Linked DNA regions of Coturnix japonica. The protein of the gene in region 1 purifies or fractionates together with the protein of each later gene. This does not show direct contact. Links are inferred from orthologs where the notes say so. Each region holds a gene or a part of one and is shown on either strand. Other genes may lie near its edges.

The links.
Region 2: the proteins of CKAP5 (region 1) and SLAIN2 purify together in Homo sapiens (affinity purification with mass spectrometry; 4 studies listed by BioGRID and IntAct, counting the BioPlex papers as one, with this or other methods). This does not show direct contact. The link is inferred for Coturnix japonica from reciprocal best matches to the Homo sapiens genes CKAP5 and SLAIN2.

The regions. Positions count from the first base shown.
Region 1 is NC_029520.1:20,888,749-20,897,260, reverse strand, and holds part of CKAP5 (cytoskeleton-associated protein 5), read right to left. Parts: intron 4,785-8,512; 5' UTR 4,750-4,784; coding exon 4,693-4,749; intron 4,182-4,692; coding exon 3,988-4,181; intron 2,927-3,987; coding exon 2,720-2,926; intron 646-2,719; coding exon 474-645; intron 1-473. UniProt on the Homo sapiens protein: Binds to the plus end of microtubules and regulates microtubule dynamics and microtubule organization. Acts as a processive microtubule polymerase. Promotes cytoplasmic microtubule nucleation and elongation. Plays a major role in organizing spindle poles.
Region 2 is NC_029519.1:59,961,403-59,969,914, reverse strand, and holds part of SLAIN2 (SLAIN motif-containing protein 2), read left to right. Parts: intron 1-1,380; coding exon 1,381-1,545; intron 1,546-2,943; coding exon 2,944-3,105; intron 3,106-3,958; coding exon 3,959-4,318; intron 4,319-5,330; coding exon 5,331-5,468; intron 5,469-6,976; coding exon of another isoform or gene 6,977-7,026; exon of another isoform or gene 7,027-7,035; intron 7,036-8,512.

The DNA.
Region 1 (8,512 bases):
AAAATTACTGCTTTCCACTCAAACAAAATTAATACAAGTGGATAGGAAAGAAAGATTAGTAATTTAAAAAGTTTTAAATTAATGGAATGTTCCAGCTATCTACCACAACACAATGACACTTCCTGAGGTGGAACAATCATATGAGGACATAGAAACACTGTAAATGCAGACCTGACCACTCCCACTATTGGGGGTCTTTTTTCACCACTAATTATTTGCCCTTGGGTTAGGTCTTTGTGACAAACTACTCTACTTGTCTAAATGCCCTCCTCAAGATTCAGTACAAAAGAAACAACATTTTGTTGTTATCTCTTTAGAAACAACAAGGGACCAAAGTCTTCAGCCCTGTTACTGGGAACTGAAGAATAACGCCTCATTAATGGAAAATTCCAGCTTTGACCAAATAGAACAGGATCAGACACACTGCTTACACGTGTGCAGAAACAGTTTTTTAACCAGACAGTTCTACATACCTGAACAGAATTTATGTTCTGCAATGGAGGTCTCAGAGCATCCCTTATCCAACGGTAGATCTCCACAGCAAGGAGTTTGGCTTCATCTCGAACAGCCTTTTCGCGAGACTCAAACAGTTTTGGCAATACTTTGATGATTGGCTTCAGTGAGATTATTTTTGAACCAAATTCACTGGAAGTTAAAAACGTGGAATAGCATCAGAGTCCAAGCAGGGGCCACAAAAAGCGATTTATTTATTTTTACTTTAAACACCAACTCATGATGTGCATTCACTACATGCAGAGAATATTCTACATTCATATTCTTGTTTCTTTTTATGATATCATTCAGCTACTGCACAATTAAAAGAATATTTCCCCAATCATAATTCCTTTCCCCAAGCCAACCAGAATTACAATACCAGGCCTCTGCTAAAATTACTTCAAAACTTTTAATCCAACCCATTGCCTAAATCTGTTTTTGCCAAGAAGGGATAAAATAAAGTATCCCTAGACTGAAATTTATGACTTTTTTTTTTCTTTAAATAAATCAGAATAAATAGAATCTCCTTTGTCTATCCTTGGAGGCAAACTGCAATAAAAGCATTAGTCATTTTGCCACTTGTAGAACGTAGATAATTATAGTAAGCCTGGGTCATCCTCACAAAAAATAACACGTGCTAAAATGTGTGCAATTGAAAGAACACAGAAAAGGTTTCCTCAGCCAACCTTCCCTATATGTTGTTGAACTTAACACAGTACATTTTTCAACCACCGTTGAAGGATATCACATTTTTTTTTAAGATACCCATCCAAATAGTAAACTGCTACAGTTGAAATAAGTCACATCAGAAGCCACAGAATACCAATTGAGGACCGTTTTTCTTTCTTGAGAGCTCCAAATTAAACTTTCTAGTCACACTTCTGTTTCTGTTCAGTTAAGTACTGCATGAAAAAGCTAGTAAAAACCAGCTAGTAAGAAACAGAAAGTTGCATATCTAAGCTCTAAAAATTCAACTGCTGGAAGCTTTATTACAAGTCTCACTTTATGAGAAATGTGAGGTAATAAAGCATGCAAAAGAGACTCCAGTATTGGAAGTAACAATCATAGAATACAAACAAATGAATGGCACAAGCTTGTTTTTACATCACAGTTGAAATAAGGGGCATACTAGACAAAGGGGCTATCGAGAATGAGAACTTGGTGTCTACTGTTCTTCTAATTCTTGTAACAGCACAAGGAATAAAAAAAACTTCAGCATAAAACAAAAAACACTGGAAGCGTTATGTACTCAAACTACACACCTAGGAACAATACATAAAACCTTGCTATCAAATGCAGAAACTGTGGAAGCATAATTCTAAATTGGAAGACTAATAGAGCTCCATGAAATAAACTGATCTAGAGATCTAAAGCATAATAAAACACTACATATAAAGAAGGTATGTCTTATAAATACAGTTGGTAGGAAGATATTGAGAAAGGTTACACCATTTTCTAATTATACCATACTGTTAAACAGATAAGAATTTAAACCAGGTAAAATATGCTTTTAAAAGTAGGACACTTAGCAGAACCTAAAATAAATCATTGCTTACAGCACTCATTTAGTGCAAGAAGAACCATTTAGGCACATACTTCAGCAAATTCACTACCAAACATCCAGCATAAAGGTATCCTTCATCTGTATTACAGTGTTTTCACACGAGCTACTTTTTTATTATTATTTTTGCAGGAAAAGGTTTTCTGGCCTCACTGATACCAAAGTTATCAGCAGGAAATTGACTTAATGAAACAAACACAACCAAATTCTGTGATTCTAATCCTGAAACCCAATACCCTATCTTAAATAAGCTTTTGGTTTTTAGAGATTATTATCAGCTTCTGTTCTTAACAGAGAAATTTCTATATGGACAATGGAAATTGACACGGACAGCTCTTAAAAATAAACATAGGGGTAATGAGCATTTAAAAAAGACCAAAGCAACAATATAGTCAACCAAAGGTGCACACATCAGCAAGGAAAAACTTGAAACAATCCACCACCACCAGCAAAAAAAAAATAGAACGAATTTCAACTTTCCTATCACTGAACTTAGCTATTCAGAAGAGTTGTGATATTCTCACAACTGTTATCACCATAAAAATAATCAGTTCAGTAAAAACAGCCTGCTAAAAAAAACAAGAGATGGATAAATGTACTACTGCAGTGAGAGGAAAAAGCAACAACAAAACAAGTGCCATAGTCCCAAACATAAAAGCTTACCTTAGTGCTTTCCTCAGTGTCTCTATACATGCAACTATGATTTTTGGGTTCTTGTTGTCGAGACCTTTTAGCAATTCTTCCTGTACTGCCTCCCCTTTCTCAATTTCTATATACATTAGACATATATCTACACCCAGCTCCTTTGCTCTGGCTTTTGGCTGATTGAATACTTTATTTACAACTCCAGAAGCTACTTCTCCCGTTGTCCTGAAAGGCAAGAGAAAGTTCCCTTTAGAAAACTTAAGTGAACTGGTTATTTACCATCATTAGCCACAGCAGAAGCACACACATCATCTAAAACATTGACAAGAACTCAGTCTTAAAGACTAAATTCTAAGTTAACTTTGAAGGTTATAACCTTCTGTAAAAGGTGATTTTTACCCGCTAGTTTAATCAATAGAACTCCTTCACACTGAGTACTATTTGGCATGTTCCTAATACCAGACTACACCAGATTAGGAACACAAGACCCTATATCAAAAAGGTCTCTATTAGCATACATTAATTCATCATCTCCAGGAATTGCATACAGTATAGTAACATATAATACCAGTGTACAAACAGTTTGCTGGGATTATGCCAAAGTTCCCAATACACTCAACAATTCACACCACTTGTGAACTAAGGGGTCTGGAAATGCTGTTAGGATTCTCAAATAAGCTTCTAATTTATTTGTTTTTAAATGCTTATTTTTTATTTTTTTTAAACATCAAGTCACTTAAGGCCAGTATATCTAAGCACGGATCAGGTCAATTAAGAGCTGCCATTTCACCCCCAGGAGAACACATTATTTCATGGGGCTAGATAACGCTAATAGTAGCAACATCCTGTGAAGAAGTAGGTGAGTATGCAGATTTAGATGGATTAAATTGCACACAGCACCACAAACATAAGTACATTTTATGCAACAAATAAATTACATGAATATCTCCCAGGAAAGATGTTCCCTGTATATACTGCTCCAGCCAAGCAAGAGGAGGGCTGCCAGCTCACAACACCAATTCACTGTTTTGCTTCTCTACCATTTCCAAAATCTGTACCACCCTCTTTACCTTCAACATCATTAAGCATTATGTAAGCAACTTCTGATAAACTAACAGGTACGTGGAAACCATCTACAAACCTACTACTCTGAAAGTTTTATAAGTCAGAAAGCAACTTGTTCTCAACATTTAATACTGTAACTTCACAACTCCCGCACATTTTATCTACAGACTTTCTCATAGAGGGACATAGAACTCTTAACTAATAAAGGAAAGGCTACTTACTTCCCAGCTACGTGAGCATTTTCAACATAAGCAAGTGCTGCTTCCAGTCCTTTCAATTGTGCCACTGCATTGGAGTCCGTCACAAATTTCTTTACCAATCCAAGGTATTTTGACCACTCAGGACTCTTCTCATCATCAATCTTCTGGAAGAGCTTAAGGGCTTCTTCGTAGCCATTTAGTCTGGCTTTCCACAGCTGGAAGAAGTAGTCAAACATTTAAGTGCCATGCTAATACAGACTTCAACTCACCAGTCTCACAAAGTACTTCAATCATAGCTGTAAGTGCACTCAGCAAGCTGGCATCTGCAAGATTTCCCTCCAGTAACAATTAGAACACTGTGCAAAATACCCACTGCTTTCCTGTCAACAACCACCCAGAAAGAGGTATGTCATTATTCTCCACTGTTCTCCACCAGCTCTAGCAACCACCTCTGGTGAGTAGGTGTGCGCCCATCAGTACTTTCAGCTACAGATGAGTAATATATCCACATGAGCAAGCCTACTGATCTTCTAGCTCACAAACTTATGCCATCCAGGTTATCACGCAACTGAACCCTGCTTAATGAGCATTACTTGAGTGTTTCAGACCTTTTACCATGCTATAAAAATTATCCAACTTTGATATAATTAGGTACAGGAGTATCATAGAAATATCACAGCACAGACACACAGCAAGCCAAACCCAAAGACCAAAAGTATATCCTACCTTGTGTTCACACTTTTGATCGATGGGTAATTTCATCCACTCACTGTCATCCCCCATTGTAATTCAGGTTCTCTTCACAGTTACAGCAATTCCTGAGGACACAGAGGTACATTAGAACACACATACAAAATATAAGCAAGGTACTACTTGCAACACATCTCAAAAAATTAGATAAAAAAATAAAGACAGCTCTAAAGCACGTCTTGTATTTAATGTGAAACCCACTCTTTCAAGCCTGCAGTTGTATTTACATACAACCTACTAAGACTAGGCTGCAACTCTCTCCACTCTGGAAGGCTAACAGAAGCCACTGAAGAGTAGTTCCATTTGTAATACTTCCAACACCACAATTTTCCATCTGGTAAAGTCTCAGTAAGCTGACACGAGGCACACAGTATACAGCTTTGTCTAAGCTTGAGGAAGAACGTATGCAATAAAGGATCTAAGAAGAAATGAGTATTGATGACCACTAGAAAACTGATGCTTACTGATGTGCTTTCTACAGCAGGTGCTATGCATCAGGGTTGAAAAACAATCACATTAGTGTGAGGACAGCTGTTTTAATAACTTCACAAACGGAGCAGTTAAAATGAACAGTATTACAAGACTAACAAAATCCATTTCTGCCAGATAGCCACTTTATGCCCTAATTCTAACAATAGCCAGAATTGGCAACTGTCATCCCGAGACCAGTTTCTTACTTCACGTAGGCTCGACTATTACTTGTTCAAGGTCATAGAAGCGTTTTCTCCCTCCCACTTCATTAAAATAGTAATATTGACCACTAGGGCATGAGAGATGAGACCTCAGGCTCAATGATCATCTCAGACATGCAAGTCTCAGCAGCACTGAGACAGCTCACAACTCCACAGAAGCAAATGAAATCAGAGCAGGTAAGGAGTAACACATTCCAGCACAGTATTTCACATACATACACAACAGAGTTAGATTTCAAGAACTAGTGGCCATCATCATCCAATAATTTATCCCACTAGATGTATAAATACTCAATGCTAACATAATATGTATAATGTACATTCAGCCAATGCCAGTAAAACTGCATTCTTTTTAGATAAAAGCATTTCATATATGAAGTACATACAGAGGTTCTCTGCAGAAAAATAAATCCTAGAATTAGGAGTATCATTTCATGGGTGTAAGTTAACACAAGCAAGTCCTCCAAAGCTATCTGTCAGCCACTAACAGCTGATTCAATAGGGAAAGCAGGCTAGCAATAGTCCACAAGCAAAAATGAAGCTCCCTTTATGTTAAAAGCTCTCTTAATAGCTCACCTAGTCAAGGATGCAGGAATGCCCTAGTGTGAATGCAGCTGCAACAACAGACTTTATCAATCAAGTCGGCCTGGCAGCTAAGAAATACCAGCAAAGCTGTGTCCCGTGTAATATAAGTTACATTTGTGTTAGAAATAATTAATGTACCAGTATAGAACTTAATGTACCAGCATAGAAATCACTGGAGGACCTCACCAGTGCAGAAGCAAGTCAAAAAACAGGCACAATGCTTTCCCCCAATCTCACACAAGCCCTTGTCAGGAATAACTTCTTACTAAGATTACTCTGTTTAAGTCATTTTCAAACCTAATCACAAATTCGGAGGCAACATTCAAGCTGTTCCTGGCTGTATCCTTTTCTTGAGGAAAGCATAAGGAATCAACAGAAGGAAAAGAATTACCACAGATAAAGCAGGAAAAGGAGTAAGGCAGTATAAGCAGTAAAAAAGAGCATTTCCTTTGCTCCAGAAATCTGCTCTAACAAGAAGAATCTTATTGCAGGATAGTGACAACCTCCCCACAGCCCCCAGCTCAAACACTGACATCAGATACATCACAGATTTCCAAGTGCTTTTTACTTCTACATTCAGACAACATTCATGCTCCAAAGTGTGACCCCTGACATGCACATCCCACTGCTACAGCACACAAAGGAGAAGAGGATCCTGGATTTTCCTTCCCAGCACCATGAGGTACTTTTACATGGGGGGACAGGGAGGGCAAAACTGCCACGCTCTTGCTTTTTTTCCCTCTAATCTGGTCAAGTCAGTTTCCCAACTATTTCTAGTTGCAAGAGCTACAATCATTACTTCCAATTATAAAATGGGTTCAGTTGCCTCCTGCGCTGAATCTTGCACCTAAAAATAGTAATAAAATTATATGTCCTCTATGACAACTTACAAATCCCTTTGGACCCGGCAGTTTATCAGGAAGTATTTCATGGTCACGGAGGGGGGAGCTCCCTTTTAGATACCTATTCTCTCCATCTTCATCGCTGTTCACACCCGCCCTAATCCTGAACTCCTGAGCTGTCTGCATCACGCCTCCAGCACAGTGACACACTGTAGTTTCTCCCTTCAATTAAGCTCCTGCATTCTGCATGTTCAAATATCCCACGTTTGACAAAAAAAAGGCTTTTTAAAAATGAAGTTTCCTTCCAAAGTCGCGTTCAGCTCTTCTCATTACTTCTCAACACCCAAATAGAGAGCAGGCTCACGCTGCAATAACAGCCAAATTGCATTACAACTAGTGAATCCGCAGCAATGAAGTGTTTGACCTAGATAGCTGACTTGTCAGCACAACTAATTTTACAGACTCCGAACAAACAGATTAATAAGTCTTTGGGTAACAGCACTCATTTTGTTAGCAGCCAGACAACGGGGCCTCTGGAGCAACTGAACCACCAAAATCAGTTTTGTGAGAGAGGCTTGTTATTAAGGCGGTCAATGAAACATTTACAAAAGCGAGTCAGCTGAGCAATCTGCAATGGAGATGAACAACAAATCCTCCCTGACAGTTCTTGGCACAGCAAACTCATGCAATGGAGCAGGAAGAAAGTGAAGACCAGCAAGGAGAGAACGGGATATCTTTCAAAGGGAGACAACGGAAGAGCAGAAAAATATATAGGACAGCGCAACACAAGTTCAAGTGTAAAAGTGAGAATTTGTTAATGAATTGTAGGGGGAAAAAAAAATCATCAATGCATTGATAACGTGTGAAAGGGATGGTAAGGGAATACTTGGATTAAGCACACGCTGCTCTGAAAAGTTCCTTACTCAGCTCCTAAATAAATGCTTTCTGGGCTAAAATTGGGAAGGGCTGAACAGCAGCAACCCTACAGTTTTACTGTACAAGGGCACCACTAAAAAGCCTCTTGACATAAATATCCTGAAACATGTGTGAGTTCAAAGCACATTTATTATGGATTCACTACGTACTGTCATGAAGCTTCACTTTCCAGACCGTTCTCCCATAAGAAGTGGGAATGCAGCGGAGGAAGCCATTTTGTGCTAAACAAAAACCAGATGGTTATTGATACCAATTGTCCACTCATCTCCGCCCGCTTCCATCTATTAAGCATCACTGCTGAGCAAGAATAGCTTTTAAAATACCAAAAGGCTTGATGCCAAAGTGGCCTTCTCAGGAGGTTTACCCAAGAGTGAGCTCTGAACAACTTATTGAAGACAGCCCATTTCCAAGCAGAACTGCATTTGAAATGTTCTTAGAGCGGGTTCTTTCAACATCTTCACACTTCTCATGTGCGTTGAGACAACAGTTCTCCATAGACAGCTCTGTGCCAGGATGGTCCATGTTTTGCTAGCAGAAAGAATTTCTATTTGTTTAACAGCAGTTTGGGGTCTCTGCCTCTCAACATGTGAAGCTTCACTGTCTCAGAAGTTCAGCCCAGCATGTTCTACAGCGCTTGCCAATTAAGCCTTTACATTAATTAAAACTCATTAGCTACAGCATAATGTAGCTCAGAAAAATGCTTAAAATATTCAAGTAATCTCAGCATAGGGGTTTTGTTTG
Region 2 (8,512 bases), on another chromosome or scaffold:
ATCCCTATTGGAATTCTATACCAGGAAAAATTGCTTGAATCCAGTTGTTTTGGTTGGTTTGTTTGTTGCTTTTTTTTTTTTTTTTTTTTTTTTGTGGGGGAAAAAATGCAGTACTTATCTGTATAACTTGCTTTCATCTGAAGAAATATGCAAGTCATAAATACTTACAACTCAAGAATATTGACTGAAATTCATGGAGTTCACTGCTGGTGAAATATTAGCACATAGCTTTCACTTTCGGGCTCAAATAATGAAAGTGAAAGCAGGGCAGTGTAAGAAACTTGCTGTGAGGCCGGCTTTAATTCCTGCCATTTCTTCCTCTGCTTCACTCTGCTAGTCATTTGGTTGTGGTAACACAGTCCCTCAAGGGTGCCACTAAGAACTGGTTCTCTGATGAGATCACTTATTATTGACACTGCTTTAGTAGTCTGGGTAACAGTGCAACTACTCCATTGCTTGTATTGAGTGAGTGAGGAAGTAGTGACCAAGAGCAGAGTAGGGTTGGAGGAGGAGCTGAAGCAGGCCTTGCTGCTGAAGGCAGCATTTCATACAGCTGTTCCTATTTGGCTTCATTTAATGTTAAAAATAATAAATAAATAAATAAAACCCAGCAGAATAAAGGAATTTTTAGTAAACCAAGTGAATGTCAAACTGCTTGACATGGCAGAATGGAATTCAGGAATTTTTATCTTTTCATCTACGACTTTTTTTTTTCTGCTTTTTTTTTTTTTCTTCATTTTTTTCCCCTAGAACCTGTTTGAGTCCATTGCCACACATGTGTCAGGCCTGTTCTTGCCAGTTTGTAATCTGTAAATGCACGGTTTCAAAACTGTCACGCCTTAAACAGTTTAATTTGCAGCTCACTGAGCTGCTGACTACTAATCTAAATACAATTCTTTAGTCAGTTTGGCATAAAGCACTTTCAGCAATGAAGAAACTTAGCAAAACTGATCATATTTCCTTTGGTTCCCACCCCCTTTAGTTCCCCTCAAAGTTCTATTTTCTATTATTTTGAAATGAAAACTGAATGCAACTTTTAAGCAGGTATATAAATTACATTATATGGATGTTTATATTTCCTATGGACATTAGGAAATACTACTGTTCCAAAAGAGTGGTCAGGCAGTGGAATGGGCTGCCCAGGAAGGTGGTGGACTTGGCACTTACTAAGAAAGTGCTTGTTACCTTATCTTGTAGCTCTCTTGTGTTAGGTTTAGTACCTAGGAGACTAAGAAATGAGCTGAAAAAAATCCCTGCTGACTTAAGTGCTTTGCTTGAATTGTATAGCAATTAAATCACACTGAAGTTACCATAGCATTATATTCATTTTTTTGCTTTTTTCTGTATTATAATTGGTCATTTTCCTCCTCTTTTGTACAGCCATGAAGAGACAGAGTTTGTACAATAGCCCTTTCAGTGCAGTCAGCTATGCCAGCTCCTATAGTCCGAATACCAGTAGCCCCTACAGTAGTGGTTTCAACTCCCCCTCCTCAACACCAGTGAAATCTGCATTAGCGAAACAGTTCATACCTCCGGGTACCTCAGGTAAGTGTGTGTGTTTGGGGGGTCCTTTCCTTCCCCCTCTTCCTTTCTTCCAGAAATACATTTTCAAATACTTCTACATTTTCATGGAGCCTAGAATAAGAAGGACACCACAACTCATCAGTGCTTGGTTGTTGTTTTTTTGTAGGAAGTTTGCATCATGTGGTATTTAAGCTTTTTAGGAAAGGCATTTTTTATACGCCTACCTTTTGGTGTGAGATAGATTTACCAGGTTTTCTTTGGGATACCCATGTACCTAAGATAACTGGTTACATTTTAACAGTTAGCCCAAAACTTGTACTACAGCTTCTGTGAAGTCCCCACACACTTAAGAAGCTTCTGGAATTGACCATATGTAGTACCTTTAGACGTTACCTGTTGGTGGCTTGTATAGTCTATGCAATTACAGTATTATTTATTATTGAAACATTTGGTATATCATCATAGAATCACAGAATTACCCAGGTTGGAAAAGACCTTGAAGATCAAGTCCAACCGCAGCCTAACCATAGTACCCTAACTCTAAAAACCCTCTGCTAAATCATATCCCTGAGCACAGCTGCAGTATGAACTATGTAATCTAAGAAAGAAGCGTGTATTGCAATTGAAGATATTCCTTAAGGCTCTGCAGACATCAGTATAAACAGTAACTTCTGGCAGCCTTTTCTGCCTCTATTCTGCTCCATAGGCATTTTCTTTGCTTTAGAAAAACTGATGTATGAAACATCTCTCTACACTGAAGTCAGAATGTTGGCTCATTGCATTTACATCAGCTCAAGTTAGTTTGCAGGGAAGAGAAAGAACATTTAATTTTAAGTTCCACTGTCCGTAGTTTGCTGTGGACTTATAAAGAGAATCCTGCACTGCAATGTATTCACCAGAGACATTGCTGAAGTTCTGTTTTCATCTATCTAACTCTGGTCTTTGTTATGTGCTACAGTCCTGCTGCCGTCTGTCACACAGCAACAACATGTAATGGAATATTGGCAAGAAGGTTCAGCCTCTACTGCCATACCACTAACATCCACCACTGATTACAGGCCAACATAATCAAATAAAAGGCATTACTTTCAGAGCAGCCGTCATGGTGTGTAGAATAACATAGACCTAAATGGGACAGGCATGCAGTGCTCTTTCTGTATGAGCTGTACAAATGTCATAGCAATTGAAACCTTGGTACAAAGGGACCAAATTTCTGTCATTAATTTAATCTCTCACCATTATGGCAATTTTTATAAAGTTACTCGTTTTCAGCATAGATTTGCAGTCAGATATTTCAAATGTTTGTCTCAATATTTGAAGTCATCATCTGTTTTCAGATGGTTGGTTCTTTTATCAGGATATGAATTTTCTCTTCCTTTTCTTTCAAACATCTCCTATTACATTATGTTCTTTCTACAGGTCATCTTAAAAGCTCAGCTGATAGGAATCCTCCACTAAGTCCACAGTCCTCTGTGGACAGTGAATTAAGTGCATCAGAGATGGATGAAGACTCTATTGGATCTAATTACAAGCTAAATGATGTTACAGATGTGCAAATTTTAGCACGAATGCAGGAAGAAAGTAAGTATTATGCATCTTGAAAACCAAGTGGGATAGCTGATCTTTTTTAAATTAAATAACTGCAGCAGAGCTTCCTTAGCAAGAATCACAGAATTGTAGGGGTTAGAAGGGACCTCTAGAGATCATCGAGTACAACCCCCGAATGACAGAGCAAATCCCTTTGCTCTATCAAGGATATACAAATGTAGTTTTCCTGAGAAGACTATCTAAAGATTTCTGTCTCCTGGATAAGGAAAGGAAATGTATACCATTACGTACATGTACTCCTGCCCTGCTAAAGCATGGTAAAGCATGTACAAAAGTATAAATTTTAAAAGAAAAAGTGAAGCAAACAGTAATTACAAGCATTACTTTATCTCTTAACATTACCAAAAATGTTCTTCCCTTTATCACACTGAACTGTTCTGTGTACCCCTTGGGTAAGTGCTCCCAGCTTTGGAGATGGCTGGTCTAACTGAACTCTAGATCCTCTATGGGTAGCTTTCTGTTGTATTTACTAATGTCCCTCAAGAGGCATTTCATTCTAGCTTCTGTAATTCTTACAGGGTGGTACATGATAACCAGATTAAAGTTGTGGCCTGTGTTGTGAGTTTCCAGCCTGGGAGAGGAGATGAACAAGTAGACAGCACAGCTATATTAATGACTGTTGTAGTATGAAAAGGAAAAACTCATCTACTTACTCAGCTGTTAGACAACCTTGTTTAATATTAATCTGGAATTAATTTTATGTCTCAAATAAAAAGAGGGAAGATGAACCAAATGTTAGCTTGAGCACTGGGTGGGTAGTTGTGTGATTTCTAGCCTGCACCATATGTGGGCTGATAAAAAGTGACGCTGTACTCACTGTTACCAGGCCTCCGGCAAGAGTATGCAGCATCAGCGTCTCGGCGTAGTTCTGGTTCTTCTTGCAATTCCACGAGGCGAGGCACATTCAGCGACCAGGAGCTTGATGCACAGAGTTTAGAGGATGAAGAAGATGGCACACATCACACAGTGCATCCTGCTGTCAGCAGGTTCTCACCGTCACCTCGTAGTTCTCCCTGGCCTTCACCAAAACAGTCTCCAAGGAATTCTCCTCGTTCCCGATCACCTGCTCGAAGTATAGAATACAGTAGAGTGTCACCCCAACCTATGATTAGCCGTTTACAGCAACCTCGTCTTTCACTTCAAGGCCATCCTACAGATATGCAGACCAGTAATGTCAAAAGTGAAGGTAATAAGCTCCATCTCAAATTCATTACACATGTAGCTGAAGTAGTTCTGTAATTCCTGTAAAAGACTTTGGTTGCACATTGCTTGGATAATCAGAGCCAAAAATGTTGTTTGGGATTTTTTTTTTTTCCTGCTCTAGAAAGGGTGATAGAAAATCTGGATGTTCAGGAACGTACAGACTGCAGTGCTAACTTGTAAGAATATTCACCCTATAAAGATGCTTGCTTTCATTTTCATTAGTGCTTGGTTAGAGAATACTTCTTCCCTGCATCGCTCTTCATAATTAGGTTGGACATTCATTGCGCTTTGTCAGCTGTGCTCTTCTGTCCTGTAGTGTCATCAACCCAGCTCTGTGCGAGTTGGACGTAAGCAAAACAACACAAGACTTTAATGGCATCTTTTTGCCTTCTGTGAGAAATTGTACCAATTTTTAAGCTCCTTAAAGAATCAATATTAGCTGAATTAGTACTCCAGCCATATGTGAAAGATTCATAACACTTTGTAATTTTGAATGCTGTGTAAGTTGCTTTCCAGGTGAGTACCAGTTTGTTACATAGCATGCTGATATGGGACTGAGTGGTGACAAACATTGCTACAAAAATCACTGTTTTTATCTTATGGCAAGCCTTGTGTAATATAGTTTTCTAGACAAAGGCTTCAGAAAGTGTGCAACACTGGATGACAGATTTGTGTATTCAGTTGCTGTAATGCAGGAACAGAACCCAAGGAATTATAATTCAGACATGTTTCAATTTCAGAATACCCCATTTTTGATTTTTACTTTTTTGCCACAAGTGAAAACTGTATAATACTCTTCATTTTTTATATATAAATATAAAACTTCATCTCAGTATGATCAAAGAGCTGTTATGTAGCACAGTATGCATTTTAATTAGTTATATATAGCTAACTTTTTGTGTAACGTAGATTTTGGGTTCAGGTATTGGTTAACAACATGAACTCGGTCAGGCCTTGGGCTACACTTAGTGATATCTTTGTGTTGTTTCACACAGAAAAACTAAGGCGTAGTCTTCCAAACCTGTCCAGGACATCCAACATCCAAGCTGAGTCTGTGAAAAACAGCAGAAGCGACTCAAACTTCCAAGTGCCAAATGGAGGAATACCTCGCATTCAACCTCAAGCCTCAGCCAGTAAGTACCTTCCTGACGTTTGAGTGGATTGGATATGTCAGAATTAAGTGATGGCACTGAACTGTTGTCCAGTTTCATGGCACAGAGAAACACTGCATGCCACACTAGAGGTGCTAATCTGGATTTTAATCACATCTGTCTGAAATGCTGCTTTTTTTCTTTTTTTTTTTTTTTTAATAAATCAGGTGTTGAATGTACTGAAAGAACTTGTAGTCTGCTGTTAAAATAACATTCATACTGTCCTAAAAGCATATATGAAGATCTACAAGGAGTATAAATACTCTGAAGTAGCATTAGGCAGAGCATAAAATTCAACAGTATGAAGCATTATATTTCAGACTAGAAAAAACACATCACGCTACCAGAATGCTTATCGTGGTGATGGTTTTGCTATTTCTAACTATTGAAACCTAATGCAAAATCATCTGTGCAATTTTAACTTACCTGCAGTTAATTTTCTTCCGCTTTGTCACCTGAAAATTAATGCATTCAGTTGCAGATTTTGTTTTTACCAAACATCAGTGTTTCTCAGCAAAGGTTTAGATGAACCTGAGTCCTGTGAAACAAAAAGCGCAGAGCTGGGTTAATGCCTGCTGGTTTGGTTGGAAGCAAACCACTGATATGAGAACACTGCTGATCTCACAAGTCTCTTAGAAATGGTGACCTTAAAGCCAAAGCAAATGAAATGCAAATATTCAGTGCTTCCTTGTATGTCAATATTGACAGTTCCTTTTGCTTAAATGTTTCCTGACCCTTTTTTATTTTAAAACAAGTTTGAAAATGAATTACCCCGTGTGACATTTCAAAGGAAGAACACATTTTGAATATTATTATTTGTAGAGCTTTGATCTATGAAAGTTCATCAGTAATCTAAGTATTTGACAAGTAATGCAAGATAGTATTTGTGAATGAAACAAATTTCATTTTTACCTGTTGAAGAGTAAAGGCAAACTGCCGTACCTGATGGGCCTTTGTAACCATGGGCCTTTTGAAACAGCTTGATAATACAACCAAATACAGTTAAATGCAGAGCAATACGGACCTGGCGAAGACAACAAGAGTTCTGTCTTTCTAGTGACGCTGGATGTAAGGGTTCTGTGGACAATTAGTCCCAACTGCATGATACTGTAGCCAAATCTATACAGATTGTATTTGGTGTTTTAAAAGAGAGTGAACCTGAAAGGGGAGAGAGGACAGAGGGCAGCTTAGCTAGTCAGAAAGCTGCTTTCTAATATTCCCAGTGCAACTTTGTGGAAAGATAAGATAGCAGAAGTCTCAGTTTTCAATATTTGAGTTACTTCATTGCAGGAATGAGATGTTTATACATGATTGTTTTCAGCTACTGGATGGACTGAGAGTCATAGAAAGCATTAGGTAGATCTGTTTGCTTTTTATGGGAATCTTTCCTCAAACATGAACCACTCTAGACCAACTTACATCTAAATGTAAGTTTAGTATCATTAACAAAGCCCAGATTTCTAGCTTTTACAGTTTCCCTGCTCTTACAGATGTTTGTCAGAGTCTTGCTATTGACAATCGTAAAACGGTTTGTGTATGAAGTCAATGAGTAAGTATCTTTGCCTAGTCTGGATTTTAAAAAATTCCTCAAAATTGTACATTGTATAAAAAATTTCCAGAATTGTGCTTTTTTTATTGTACACTTTTTGTTTTATTGGTTTACTATTTTGTCACCTTGCACAAAGCACTGTTAAATTGCAGCTAAGCTTTGTTTTCCCTTGGCAATGACATCTGGGTCTAAGGATTCAAAGCTTCCTCATACCTGCTAGTGTTGCATGAGCTTCCCTTTGCAAGGATGCTGGCTTGCCGCCTGGGATCACTACTTTTCTTTTTTGTCAACGATCTGCTGTTCATAATTTACTTGCACATTTGCTGTGGCTGCAATACTGAACTTGCTATGGTTGCTGGCATTCAAAAATGAGTTAGGAATCCAGTAAGTTTCTGTGCAGACAATTCCTGATATGGTTACATAGGCAAATTAATACATACTTGATTAAGGAGTAGATGGAAGATAATTACAATAAGTACAAATGCAAAAGATGAAGACATTTTATAATCTTTAGCTGTAATCTGGTGAAAAATCCAAATTCTCTTTGAAAAGGGATTGAACGGGTAAACTACATATTAAGTGTAACTACTGGAATCTTCATCTACATATGGTTCACTGTGCTGTCACGCAGAAAGGATTTTGGAGTGCGAAAGCTGATAAGTATTTTACTGTAGAACACTGGAAGTTAGGGTAATACTTGCATTCTCCAAAGAACAGGCATCTTCTAGGCTTCCATGTGTTACAGATTGCAAATTCTCCACATTTAGATTGCACTCTACAGAGACTGTAAGTTGTAGAGCTTTGCACAAGGCAGCTTCTACATAGGAACAATGTGGATCACATATGCGTGATCCTTTTGAACACACACAGCATTAATAACACAAGGATGTGAAACCTTTCAGCAGAGTTAATTACAATGCTTTTTCAAAGAGCCAAGCTGTGAAGTGTTCAGATTATTAGTGACCATAGTCTGCTTGCCAAGATTTGGCTGCTTGGCATGTTCAGTGCAAAAGAACCTTTATATTCTAAGGAAACCTAAGTATTCCAGTTCAGTTAATCAGAAATAAATATATTCAGCTCGCACCATTTGTGAGAGGTAATATGGAGCCATTCAAGAGCAGCAAACAGTGTGGATGAGTGTGTACTCCACACTTATCTCAAATCACGTTTCCACAGCATTACTCAAGTTCCCTGCTTGCAGCTCTTTGCAGTGTTGTAGCGCACGTACTGCTTAGCTGTCAGATGTTGGGAACTTTGCCTGGAGCCTCCACTGAGAAGGAAAGAAGGAATTTGATATATATTAAAAATATGTTTGTTTTTTTTTATTCTTTCCACATCATCTCACATCTCTGACTCACAAGTAGCATAAGAATGAAGGGGGAAGCAACTTACTGCTATGTACAGTTGACCACATTCAAGATCATAAATATGAAAGAAGAATTTGTTCTTGATTTAACGTGGTAGAACAAAAAGACCG